3 linked regions of the Mus musculus genome follow. The protein of the gene in region 1 purifies or fractionates together with the protein of each later gene. This does not show direct contact. Links are inferred from orthologs where the notes say so. Each region holds a gene or a part of one and is shown on either strand. Other genes may lie near its edges.

The links. The genes of interacting proteins can lie anywhere in the genome.
Region 2: the proteins of Sf3b3 (region 1) and Snrpd1 fractionate together in Homo sapiens (co-fractionation; 4 studies listed by BioGRID and IntAct, with this or other methods). This does not show direct contact. The link is inferred for Mus musculus from reciprocal best matches to the Homo sapiens genes SF3B3 and SNRPD1.
Region 3: the proteins of Sf3b3 (region 1) and Ccdc97 purify together in Homo sapiens (affinity purification with mass spectrometry; 3 studies listed by BioGRID and IntAct, counting the BioPlex papers as one, with this or other methods). This does not show direct contact. The link is inferred for Mus musculus from reciprocal best matches to the Homo sapiens genes SF3B3 and CCDC97.

The regions. Positions count from the first base shown.
Region 1 is NC_000074.6:110,819,172-110,822,816, forward strand, and holds part of Sf3b3 (splicing factor 3B subunit 3), read right to left. Parts: intron 2,420-3,645; coding exon 2,297-2,419; intron 1,691-2,296; coding exon 1,536-1,690; intron 1-1,535. UniProt on the Homo sapiens protein: Component of the 17S U2 SnRNP complex of the spliceosome, a large ribonucleoprotein complex that removes introns from transcribed pre-mRNAs.
Region 2 is NC_000084.6:10,616,474-10,620,632, reverse strand, and holds the start of Snrpd1 (small nuclear ribonucleoprotein Sm D1), read right to left. Parts: upstream 2,838-4,159; 5' UTR 2,721-2,837; coding exon 2,707-2,720; intron 1-2,706. UniProt on the Homo sapiens protein: Plays a role in pre-mRNA splicing as a core component of the spliceosomal U1, U2, U4 and U5 small nuclear ribonucleoproteins (snRNPs), the building blocks of the spliceosome.
Region 3 is NC_000073.6:25,716,199-25,720,399, forward strand, and holds the start of Ccdc97 (coiled-coil domain-containing protein 97), read right to left. Parts: upstream 2,838-4,201; 5' UTR 2,769-2,837; coding exon 2,720-2,768; exon of another isoform or gene 2,698-2,719; intron 2,082-2,697; exon of another isoform or gene 1,947-2,081; intron 802-1,946; exon of another isoform or gene 656-801; intron 1-655. UniProt on the Homo sapiens protein: May play a role pre-mRNA splicing through the association with the splicing factor SF3B complex which is involved in branch-site recognition.

The DNA of each region.
Region 1 (3,645 bases):
CCTTACCACCCCCTAACCTTGTCACCTCCACTCCCTCCTATGGAATGATTCTCCTATCCCATCTCAAACCCTTTACTCCTCTACCTGAGATAACTTCCCTTCCCACCTATCAACCCTAATAGGACCCTGCTCCCTTAAGTTCCAGAGGAACCCTGAGATCAACCACTTTGTTCCTGGTCCCAGAAGAATAAGACTTCAGCCCAGAAGCTGTATTTGACTCTACTGGATTGGACACAGATTTTTCCTACTTTCTCTCTTGTCTACTTCTGTCCATGGTAACTCTTATGAATGGAGACTTGAGGTTTAAGAAATCCCCATTTATAACAAACAGTTCTTCCAAATAGGATTGGAAAAATACCACTCGGGCTATAAAACTTAGCGTACACACACAGCACCATCTGCCAAAACTAAAAGGCCTAATCCACCAAAGTCTATCATTCTGGGAAAGTCTCTAAATGTACTAACCTTGCCTTTTGGTTTCTGTAGTTCCACTTCTGGCTAACTGTCCTTGTTAACTGAAATATGTCAGCTGGGACATGGCTTTCGTGCTTTAAAACTCATCCTAAGGATGAGTTCCAACTCAGCTTGAAGATACACGAGATCGCAAACATCAGACTTTCTATTGGCTTAAACCCAAATCAGAGCAGCAGACTCTGGCAAATACTCCACAACACTTCATCATATTTCTAATTCACTTTTTCCAAAAACTGTATTTCAAAGAAAAAACAAAACCTGCCTTCACACAAAAAAATTAAGACAAATATTTATATATTACTAATAGACAAAAAGTGATTGACTAACAATAAGTACTAGAATGTTCAGTGGCCTTCTGTATTTGTGTGTATGTGCATGCATGCAACTTGAGCCCAAGTGAGCACCTGAAATTTGATCTTGAAGCCAGCCAGCATTGGCTACCTAGTAAGATTCTGTCATGAAAAATAAAGAACGAGGTTTTCATCCTAGTACTCAATAAACATAAGCAGGTGGATCTCTATGAGTTTGAGGCCAAGCTGGTCTATGTAACATGTCCTGGGCTACATGGTGAAACCATGGCTAAAAAAAGATATAATTCTATAGGTAAATCCAGATTTAACGCTTGTTCTAAAACTAGTCTTGGGATATGACCATTTCACCAGGAAACAGAAATCTTAAAGTGCAAGACTAGTTTTACAACTTAGCTCCTAAAGTCTAAACAGAAGCTAAATGCCAAATTCAAACTTGGCTCACAGTTTCTAAACGCCTGAGCCAAACTAAATTTCAGCTGCAACACTCTTTCCTGGTGAAAGGTTGTTCTCAGCCATCTCTACAAACTCCTCCAACTCTGGTAGAACCACAGGCTGAGGACTTGGCACAAAAGCTTCCTGCTGGGCTTCAAGCCTGAGGATTTTCTCTTTTCCTTTTTGTTTTTTTGAGACAGGGTTTCTCTGTGTAGCCCTGGCTGTCCTGGAACTCAGAAATCCTCCTGCCTCTGCCTCTGCCTCTGGAGTACTGGGATTAAAGGCGTGCACCACCACTGCCTGGCAGTATTTTCTCACCTCAAAGTGTTGGTGGAGATGGCAACAATGCCCTCGGGACACTGTTCAGAGGCAAAGCCCGATGCAAATTCCAGGGTCTCATAAGACAGAGGGGTGAGATGGAAGCGAGACTGGTAAGAGTAGCTCAGCCATGAGCGACTGGACATAGCCAGAACCTGGGGAGGAAGAGTTCCAATCAGACTGGACAAGCTCATACATGGTAGACTGACCAAACAAACATACAACCCAACTTTGGCCTCAAATTTTAGAAGTCTACAAAGCCACTTTAAACAAAGGGAGCCCAAACAGGCAGTACACGGCTTATTGTATAAAGAAAGGAAAAAAATAAGTAAAAAGAAAAAGAAAAAGCAAGCTTTATCAATCACATTCCTCTGGACCGACTTTCCCTTGGGTATAAATTAGAGACTCTATTCCAAGGTTGGACAGCTGTAGATGTGAATAAGGTAACGTTTAAGAACTAGCACGGCAGTGGCAGTGTTAACTCTGAACTGCGAAGAATAGGCTCTCATTCCTATTAGGTAGACTCATGAGATCACTATAATCCTTTTCCATCTCAGATAGCTAGGCCTAAATAGACTCAAAGATCAATATTCAAGCTTCCTATAACCTCATAATGCCCAGTGCCATCTCATGGACCATCTCTTAGAAAACTCCAAAGAACCCAGAATTTCCTATGTAAGTGAAACGAACATCAACCTACAAAGTGAATTAGTCAGAAGTTCACAGTGGTACCAACATCCAAATGTCTTTTGACTACTTACAGCCTCCTGGCCTTGCATCCGGACCCGGAAGAGTTTCACAGGACGGGACCCCAGATACCTAGTGCGGGTGTCAGACAGGTCCCCAGTAACAGGGTCTAGGACAGTCCTCAGCAGTACACCGTTCTAGTGGAAAAGATGGAACAGGTAAAGCCTCCTTTTTATGATGGGAACTTTTATGTTAGATTTTCCTTTGGCTACTTTAGTAGAAGACAAAGATATGACTTGGTGGCGAAAACAACATAAAACAGGTCACAGCGCCCAACAATCAGGAATTCACTCATTCTCTCCTAGTTACTAAGCATCTACTGGCAAAACCCACTTCTCATTATACATACATTTCCTGTACATTAAGAAATATTTCATTTAAGCCAGGTGGGGATTGTGCATGTCTTTTAAGCCAACACTCAAGAAACAGAGGCAGGAAAATCTCTGAGTTTGAGGCCGGTCTGTTTGGAGAGCTAGTTCCAGGACAGCCAGGGGTCAAGAAACCCCATCTCACCTCCCCATCCCCCCCAAATCATTTAAGTTAAGTACTTTTTATAATTTAAAAGCAGACCTCCGCAAAAAACAAAACAAAGAAAACAAACAATTAAAGGCTGGGATGTACTGACTATGGTACCTCTAAGCCTCATTTTCCCTAAAGGAACACGGTTCCAAGGGATGACTGATTCAAGGCTGAAGCAAGAACATTCCCAATGCAACAGTTACCTAATTGTGCAAGAAGGCAGGCAAGATAGCTGGGTCAAATAAACAAACGAATTTCAAGGGAAACCACAATCAAAAATGAAGCAAACAAAAATCTAAGAGATGACAGTAATTTGAAGAAGAAAATACCCACAAATTTATATAGTTAAAAAATAAAAATCTACCTCCAACCAACAAAATCCCTACTTCATCAGACTCAACTAGAATGACTGCTGTAATCCTAACTCCTACTGTAAAATTAGTGACTGAAGAAGGGGTTGGGAGAGAGCCATTATCCTTTTCCTGTATAAAGTATGTTTAGAGCAAAGGAATAAACCTCAATTTACAGACTTGATTACAAACATTTCAACATCACGCACCTCCAGTGGGATGCAACAGAGTAGGGCCACTTCCACTACAACAGTTACGAGTGAGTAACTGCCGTCAACGTCTATAGTCTGCACTAACTGTGATTTTTCACGAGGAAATTAAAACATGCAAAGTATCAGATATTCAGAAAGTGTTACTAATCTTGGTGGGTATGACATTACTAGTTTCTTAAAGCAAAACACTATAGAGATAACATTACTAAGTATAGGAGGGAAGAGGTACTGCCCTAGATTTGCTGTAAAATACTCCTTTAAATGGGAAAATGAAGACTCATT
Region 2 (4,159 bases), on another chromosome or scaffold:
CCCAGACCAAGACTTTAAAAAACATTCTCTTCTTTTACTCTATTAATATTCAGGAATGTAACCCACCAGGAATTCTACATTATCACTCATGCTTTATTTTAGCCAAATGGCAATGGAATGATAATCTACAATATCATCTAATAACACTTCATATTCAGATTTTCCAGTCTACTTATTTTTCTACAATATCCATTGTGCACTCCTATAACATCCACTACAGTAAACTACACGAGTGATATTACCTATTCCATTCTCCCATGAGAAAGTAAGTAGCACGACTTTTCTATAGTAACACACACCAAGTACAGGCTGAACGTTTCAGCAACCTTAAACTACTACATTACAAACAGTATTTTGCCAGGCACGGTGGCAAAGACTTAATTCCAGCACTCAGAAAGGAGGAGGTGGGGAGAACAGGGTCCTTTTGTGAAGAAAATATTCTGCTGAAGAATTCCCTTATGAGCAAGGCAGTGGTCATGCCTTTAATCCCAGCACTTGGGAGGCAGAGGCAGGTGGATTTCTGAGTTGGAGGCCAGCCTGGTCTACAGAGTGAGTTCCAGGACAGCCAGGGCTACACAGAGAAACCCTGTCTCGAAAAACAAAACAAAACGAAACAAAAATTCCCTTATGCTATCTAGAGATGCTGGTTGGTGGCAGTGAAGGCCTCTAATCCCAGCACTCAGGAGGCAGAGGCAGGATGATTCTCAATCTAATGTCAGCTGAGATAGAGTGATTTCAAGTCAGGCAGCACAACTTGTGAGACCCTGTCTCAATATAAAAGTAAAAAGAGGCCAAGGAACACATAAATTCAAATTATTTTCCAGTGAGTCCTTCATTTTGTGAATTCTCTTCTTACTTTTGTTTTCTGTGTAGCCCTGGCTGTCCTAGAACTCCCGCTGTACAGCATGCTGGCCTTGAACGCAGAGAAAGTGTGAGGATTCAAGGCATGGGCCACCATCACCTAGCTGTGAATTCTTTTCTTAATGAGACTGGCACATCAAACAGTAAAGTGTATGGGGTCCTTTTAGTACCCAAATTTTTCCTATTTGAATAGAAAACCAAAGAGAACTGGATAGTGAGAAGTATCTCCAGTTAGAAAAATTAAGAAACCTGGCAACTTACCAGACGCCAGGAGGATTAAGAGAAAGGTAGCTAAGCACACTTCCTAAGTTTGGGCAAGGTGGCAACGGGATAAATACAGGCAATACAGTCCAATACAAAACTCATGCACAAATAAGAAAGCCCACACCAAAAGTGCAAACCAGTCAACCATTTTCACAGGGCAAAAAACATTCTCCCTTGGGGGCTGGCGAGATGGCTCAGCAAGGTAAGAACACTGACTGTTCTTCCAAAGGTCCTGAGTTCAAATCCCAGCAATCACATAGTGGCTCACAAAACCACCAGTAATGAGATCTGACACCCTCTGAAGTCAGCTACAGTGTACTTATTTATAATAATAAATCAATCTTTGGGCCAGAGCGAGAAGAGGTCCAAAATTCAATTCCCAACAACCACATGAAGGCCCCAACTGCTACATCTGTACTGCTACAGTGTACTCACATACATAAAATAAATACATCTTTAAAAAAAATTCTCCTGTAATTAGAAATCTCTATACTTTGCGCTATACAAAATAGGGTCCAAGACAAATCAAAGCAGCAGCAGCAGGAGAGTGAGCACCTGCCTAGGATGCTGGCAAAGTTATCATAATAGAACCTTTAAATGAGATGAACATGTTACTGTAAATACATTATAGTTCATATCAGGGAGTAAAGAAACGGCAAGTCTTAGCATTCTACCTAGGTTACAGTCCAAATACAAATGAACTGGGGCTGAGCTCAAGGTTAAGTGACTATTAGAAGCTCTCTGCGTGCCATCCCCAGAACAGGGGAAAATTTTTTTAACCTTAAATGCCTTCTCCCTCAAATTCCTCCTGAAGTAATTTTTTTTTTTCCAATTTCAAGCAGGCTATGAGTCACCGTTAAAAAAACTTCAAAAATGTTTTAAAAGAATTCTTGTGAATTATGTACAACTACTTCAGAAGGTGTTCAATGCCATTCTGGCCAACTACAACAGTCTTGACTCAACAAGAAACTAAATATTTCTAGTTATTTGCTTGATATTGTATAACCTGCCTCAGGCTTGACCCAAGCCTGTTCATTTGAATTAAACCAGCATGCCTCTAGTTAGGCTCCACTTCCGATATTAACTATGCAGGCGAAATTAATTTATTACCTTCTGCCCCATCCTAGGACATTTTGTCTTTCCTGAGTTAGAAGCCTACACTAACCACTTACATACTTCGTATAACTGGTCAAATTTAAGGAGATCTTAGTCTAAAACGTCTTGCAAATCGGCGTCATCATTTGCAGATAAAACCATGCTAGGTCTACTAAGTCCTCCTCAGTGCAAATGGTCCGATTCGCCAAGAAAACGGGCCACTGCTCCGTTTAAGCTGCCGGATACTGGGTGGGCAGAGGCGGCTCGGCCCCTCCATTCCTGGAAGACCGGCGGGGTCTGCGCGCTGGCCCCTCGCCCGGGCTCTGGGCGGCGGGCAGGGCGCGGCGGGGCCCGGGGGCCTGAGGCCGTTAGCAGGCCGCGCGCACGCGGCTTTCCCGCCTCCCTGGGAGCACAGCGGCCCGGCCTCCCGAGCCGACCCCAAATCCTCTACCCGTCGTCCTCGCCCGGCGGGGGTACCCTCCTCACCTCACGAGCTTCATCCTAGCGACGCAGTTCTCCCTTCTGGCCCGACTGTTCACAGAATTCAGGCTCCAGAGATCCACGGACTGGGGTTATGAATGGCCGGAAAAGCGCGCGGAGGCCTGCGGACGCGCGACGAGAACGCGGAAGCTGCGCTGCCTTCCGGCCACCGGGAGGGCGACAGCGGCCCCTAGCGACGGGAGGAGTGCTTTGCACCTTCGGAGGGCGGGAGGGCTGGTGGACGACATCTTCTGCAGGTTTTTTTAGACCAGTTACGAAGTTATTAAAACTACTTGTGAAGGCCTGGAACTTTCACATGTTAAAGGAAGAGAAGTTCTGAAAGAAGCCCACTAAGATTCGAGTTTAATACTTGGGATTCACATGTTGGAAGCAGGGAACTCGGTCCTGCAAGATGTCCTTACTTGGCTTGACATTAAGCTAAGCCAATCAAATCTTTGGACAGAATGGTTTTCCTTTGGGGATGCAGGGTACCTTCTTAAAACTAGAAAAACCACTCTCAGGACAGAGTTTTAAATAAATTTTATATATAGCAAGTCCTTCGACTTAAAAAAATGTATGTGGATATTTCAGTTAAAGTTAAAACAAAAAATTCAACACCTTATTTGCAATAACCACACTGTTAAATGTAGTTACTCAACATATACATTTGTCTCTAATTACAAACATAGTGCAAATAATTTTGAAAGAATTTGGATGATATTAGTTTATTATCATTTGATTCTATAATTTATTATTTATGGCTCTAGAGAGAATATCGTGTCTAAAAGCAAGGAAATACAACTGCTTTCTGCGCTCTCCAAAACTGCTTACATGGAACGTGATTTTGTCAACAAACACCCCTGTCCCCATGTATGGGAACTGGTCCCAAGGATCAATGAGACCAAAGAAAGAGGCAGGCAAGTCCAGAATTGCAGTGTGCAGCTTAAGGGTGACTTATAACAGAACAATGGGCCTGGACATTAAGAAAAGCAGAGGTCCTTGTAATGTGGGTTATAAAACAGGGGAAACGTTATTTCATAGCTAGGCATGGTGGTCCAAGTTTGGGCCACAAACTCTATCTCGAACCTTCCCTTCCCCCTAAAAAGAGATTTCAGCCAAATAAGATTATACCTTGTCTATTTTAAGCTAATCAGAGCCAGGTACATTCTTAGTCCAAGGTCTGGGCAGAAAGGTTCACACAACTCTCGAATGATTTTGTCTGTTTTATGCTGGAAAGCCAACCAGGGTGACTCAGGGGTAATTTTAATACTTTCTACTCAAAATAATTTTAGTAATGGCAAGATAAATCTACAGTTCTTGATTGATATTTATGAACAATTAAATACCTCCCTCCATTAAAATGTATGCTTTATAAGGATACATTGTGCATATCATTTGGTGCAATAATGCCAGTACTGATCACCTGGTGTTCCTTAACCCCAAATCCCCTTTCCACTTG
Region 3 (4,201 bases), on another chromosome or scaffold:
GAGGAGTCTTTAGTTAAGGGCATCAGGGGAAGGGGGCTTAGGCAGGAGGAGGCTGGGAACTGACACATTCAAACAGCTCACGTTTACTGAGTACCTGCTACATTCTGGGTAATGTTCTAGGCCTTAGACAGAGAGACCATGGTGAACAGGCCGTGATGCTGCACAGTCAATAGTCTAACTAATTAACAAAACCATGGAATATGCCAGGCATGGTGGCTCATGCCTTTAATCCCAGCACTCGGGAGGCAGAGGCAGGTGGATTTCTGAGTTCGAGGCCAGCCTGGTCTACAGAGTGAGTTCCAGGACAGCCAGGCCTATACAGAGAAACCCTGTCTCGAAAAAACAACAAACAAACAAACAAACAACCATGGAATATATTACGTGCTTCCCTGGCTAGGTAGAAAGACAGTCGGACAAGCCTGGTATGGTGGTACACACCTTCAGTTTCAGCGTGGAGGAAGCAGAGGCAAGTGGATCTCTCTGAGTTCAAGGCCAGCCAGGCCTACACAGTGATATTGAATTTCAAAATAAAAATCTCAAAAAACAAACAACAAAATCCAAAACACCAATGATAACAAAATGATGATGATGATAAATAAAGTATCCAATGAAAAGCCTAAAAAAGACAGAAGCAGCAAATGTTAGGATGGCTCACTTTTAAACTGCAGGGTAGCAGGCTTGCCAGGAAAGTGACATCTTGTAGCTGGAGAGATGGCTCAGCGTTTAAGAGCATAGGCTGCTGCTCTTCCAGAGTCCAGATTCAATTCCCAGCATCCACATGGCAGCTCACAAATTCTAGCACTTGGGAGGCAGAGGCAGGGGAACACCTGTGAGTTCGAGTACTGCCTGGTCTATAAATCAAGTCTAGGACAGTCAGGGCTACACAGAGAAACCCTGTCTCGAGAAACCGAAAAGGAAACAACAACAACAAAAAACCAAACACCCAGTTTCTGGTCTTTGGTATAGCAGTTGGAAGAGCTAAGAAAGAGCAGCCTGAGAAACAGAAGGGAAGCAGTGCATATTGTTTCTCTCATAAGGCAACTGTGCCAGGTGGCTGGCACTGGCTGCTGGAAGCAGTATAGTAAGAAAACAGTCTGGATGCTGGGCAGGTATGTATGTATGCATACACACACACACACACACACACACACACACACACACACACACAAATAGCCCCAGCATTCAGGAGGCTGGGGTAGAATGATTCATGAGTTTTAGACCAGGCTAGACTACATAGTGAGTTCTAGGTCAGCCTAGGCTACAGGGTGAAACCCCACCTCAAATAAATAAATATACAATCAAACAAATGAATGAATAACAATGAGAATGTAACAAAACAACAAAACTCTAATCAAGTAGATTGAATAGCCATGAATGGACGTCCCTGGGGATCCTACCTGACTGGAACAAGTTCAGGGTGGAGAGCACGCTGTAGTAGGTGATGGGTAAGAAAATTATGAGCAGTGTCTTGGCAGTGCTAGGAGGACAGGCCTGCTCTACCACACACAGTTTAGATGGTGCTGGGGATTGAACCCAGGGCCTCAGGCATGCTATGCAAACATCCCACTAATAAGCTACGGCCTTAATCCCTGGCTTTGAACCTTCTAGGCTCCTGACTATAGGCCCATTTCACCACATCTTGCCCCAGATTCTCTTTTATGGCTTCATGGTAGCAAATGTGATTGGCATTTGTAAGGCTTGAGGCCCAGCACCAGAAAGTTTAAAAGATACATACAATTTTGTTACAGAAAATGTTAATATATATACTTTGAAGCAGGGCCTCATAGTACAGGGTTTGACTTTGTAGTCTGGAACTCACTATGTAGTTTAGGATGTCTTCAAACTTAAGGGTAATCTCCTGCCTCAGTCTCCCAAGTGCTGGGGTTACAGATATAAATCACCACAATTGGAGATTATCAAAGATTGAAACACACACTAGAACACACCTCTGCCTCTACATTCATAATCTGCTATTCAGCTTCAGTAACTCCCAGTTCCAAGTTGTCATCGCACATCAGACTACTATGAAACATTAAAGACAGGCGTGGTGGCACAGGGCTGTAAACTCAGTACCTTGGGACCTGGGATTGGAGGACAGCAATTTGGAGGCTGACCTTGGCAATAATAAAAGGCTGTGAACAAAACCCCAAAACAAAACAAAACAAAAGCCCCCGCCCCCGCCCCCCCAAGCCAATACTTGTAGGAAGTCAGTAGCAAAGTAAAAGGCATTGAAGGTGCGAGGGAGAAAGGACCTAAAGGGGCGGAATGAGAACTTTAGGACCTAAAGAGGCAGACGTTGGGGTCAGGAAGGGTTAGAATGCAATGGGGGCTGTTGGTTTGATGTGAGCTTTCATGGGACAAGAGGAGAGCTAGCTTGGGATACGGAGAAACTCAGGTTGGCACAGAAATGATGTTAACTTGAGAAAGGTTGGTCTGAGACTGGAAGAATCTGCAGGAGAGTTGTTATTTGCTTGAAGCGTTGGCATGGTAAAAAAAAAAGTGGGTTAGCCTAGGACATGGAAAGGGGTTCATTTCAAAGAAGAAGGGAAACGTCAACCTGCTACAAGGCCGAATAACCAGACCCACAAGGTGGACCAAGTGTTGAAAGTGCCAGTAAGCGGCGGTCAGACTTCCTAGAGTCCTCAGCGCTTGCCGGAACCATTTCCTGGTCACACCGCAAGAGCACCCTCCGGTCACCTGAGCCTGGCAAACGTCTCACCATTATCCGGCTTCCTCTCCGTCACCTCTGCAGCTGCCACCGCCTCCATAACAGGTCTCTTCAACACAGTAACCGCCACAGCGGGCTCCGGAAGCCAGGCTGGACCCTAGGTACCCGCAGGTACTTCCGGTTACGCAAGCGTCTTTATGCGGCACCCAAGCATCAAAGTTCCGGGTCAAAGGCGGGCCTTCTCTTATGCGCATGCGTAGCCCCGCTGATGGATCTTAAACCTATCAAATGGGAAAGTCAGCGGGGACCGTGTGTCATTTGATCGCTACTCTAACTTGAGGTCCTCGTGTGTTAATATTTGGAGTGGTTGTATTGGCCCTATCGCATAGACCCTCGAGTCCTCTTAAAAATACTTATGCGGTCAGAAGACAACTTATGGGAGTGTGGATAAAATTCAGTCAAGGTTGGCAGCAAGCATCTTTAACCGCCGAACCATCTCATCCAACTTTGTGCTCTCTGTAGATTTGACTTCCTTCTATCATCACATCCAGCCTGTAGGGCTGGCATGAGATTAAATTGGGGGGAGAACCTTTGTGTTTCCAAACAAGAAGGAAACCTGCAGATATGAGGAATTCGCTGTGTAAAAGGGAAGGACCTGCTCACCACAGGCAGGGTCAGAGACTTTCTGGCAGGGATAAAGCCCCCAGATGAGACCTGAAAGGCATGGGCAGGAGTTAGGAAGTACTTCAGGCAGTTTTGCTGACAAAGGTACTTCTGGGTGCTGTTAACTGTTTACTATGCAGAGCATACAGCACTCAGGAGACAGAGGCAGGGATATCACTGAGGGTTTGACGAAATCTTGTCTTGAATAAGGCCGGCCAGGGTTACATGGCAAGTTTTTCTCAAGAAAGCAAAAAATAAAAGATTATTGGAAGCTGGGCAGTGGTGGTGCACACCTTTAATCCTAGCACTTGGGAGGCAGAGACAGGCAGATTTCTGAGTTCGAGGCCAGCCAGGTCTACAGAGCGAGTTCCAGGGCAGCCAGAGAACCCAGACTCAAAAAAAAAAATGGAGGCCACGTGTCAGTGTCAGATCATAAAGGGCTTCGTAGCCCTATGAGGTGTTTGGAACCCATAAGGTTTGGGGTAGGGAACCAAGGAAAGGAACTGGAGATCACAACGAGGAAGGTGGTGCATTAATCTTGAAACAGGTTTGGAAGAGTTAGAACTTGGTAAGCATTCCCGACATTTGGGGAATGGCCTGGTAAAAACCCAGCTGCATCACCAGGAATGGCCAGCAGAGGGCGATGCTGCCCAACACACATATGCCAAGAGCAGCATTTCCCAGGCTAGGGACAAGGACCCCTCCTTACCTTCTCCTAGAGCAACTTGACAAGTGTCTCTCCTCCCCTTCCCCCCTCCCCCAGACAGGGATTCTCTGTATAGCCCTGGCTGTCCTGGAACTCAGAAATCCACCTGCCTCTGCCTCCCAAGTGCTGGGATTAAAGGAGCGTGCCACCACAGCCCAGTGACA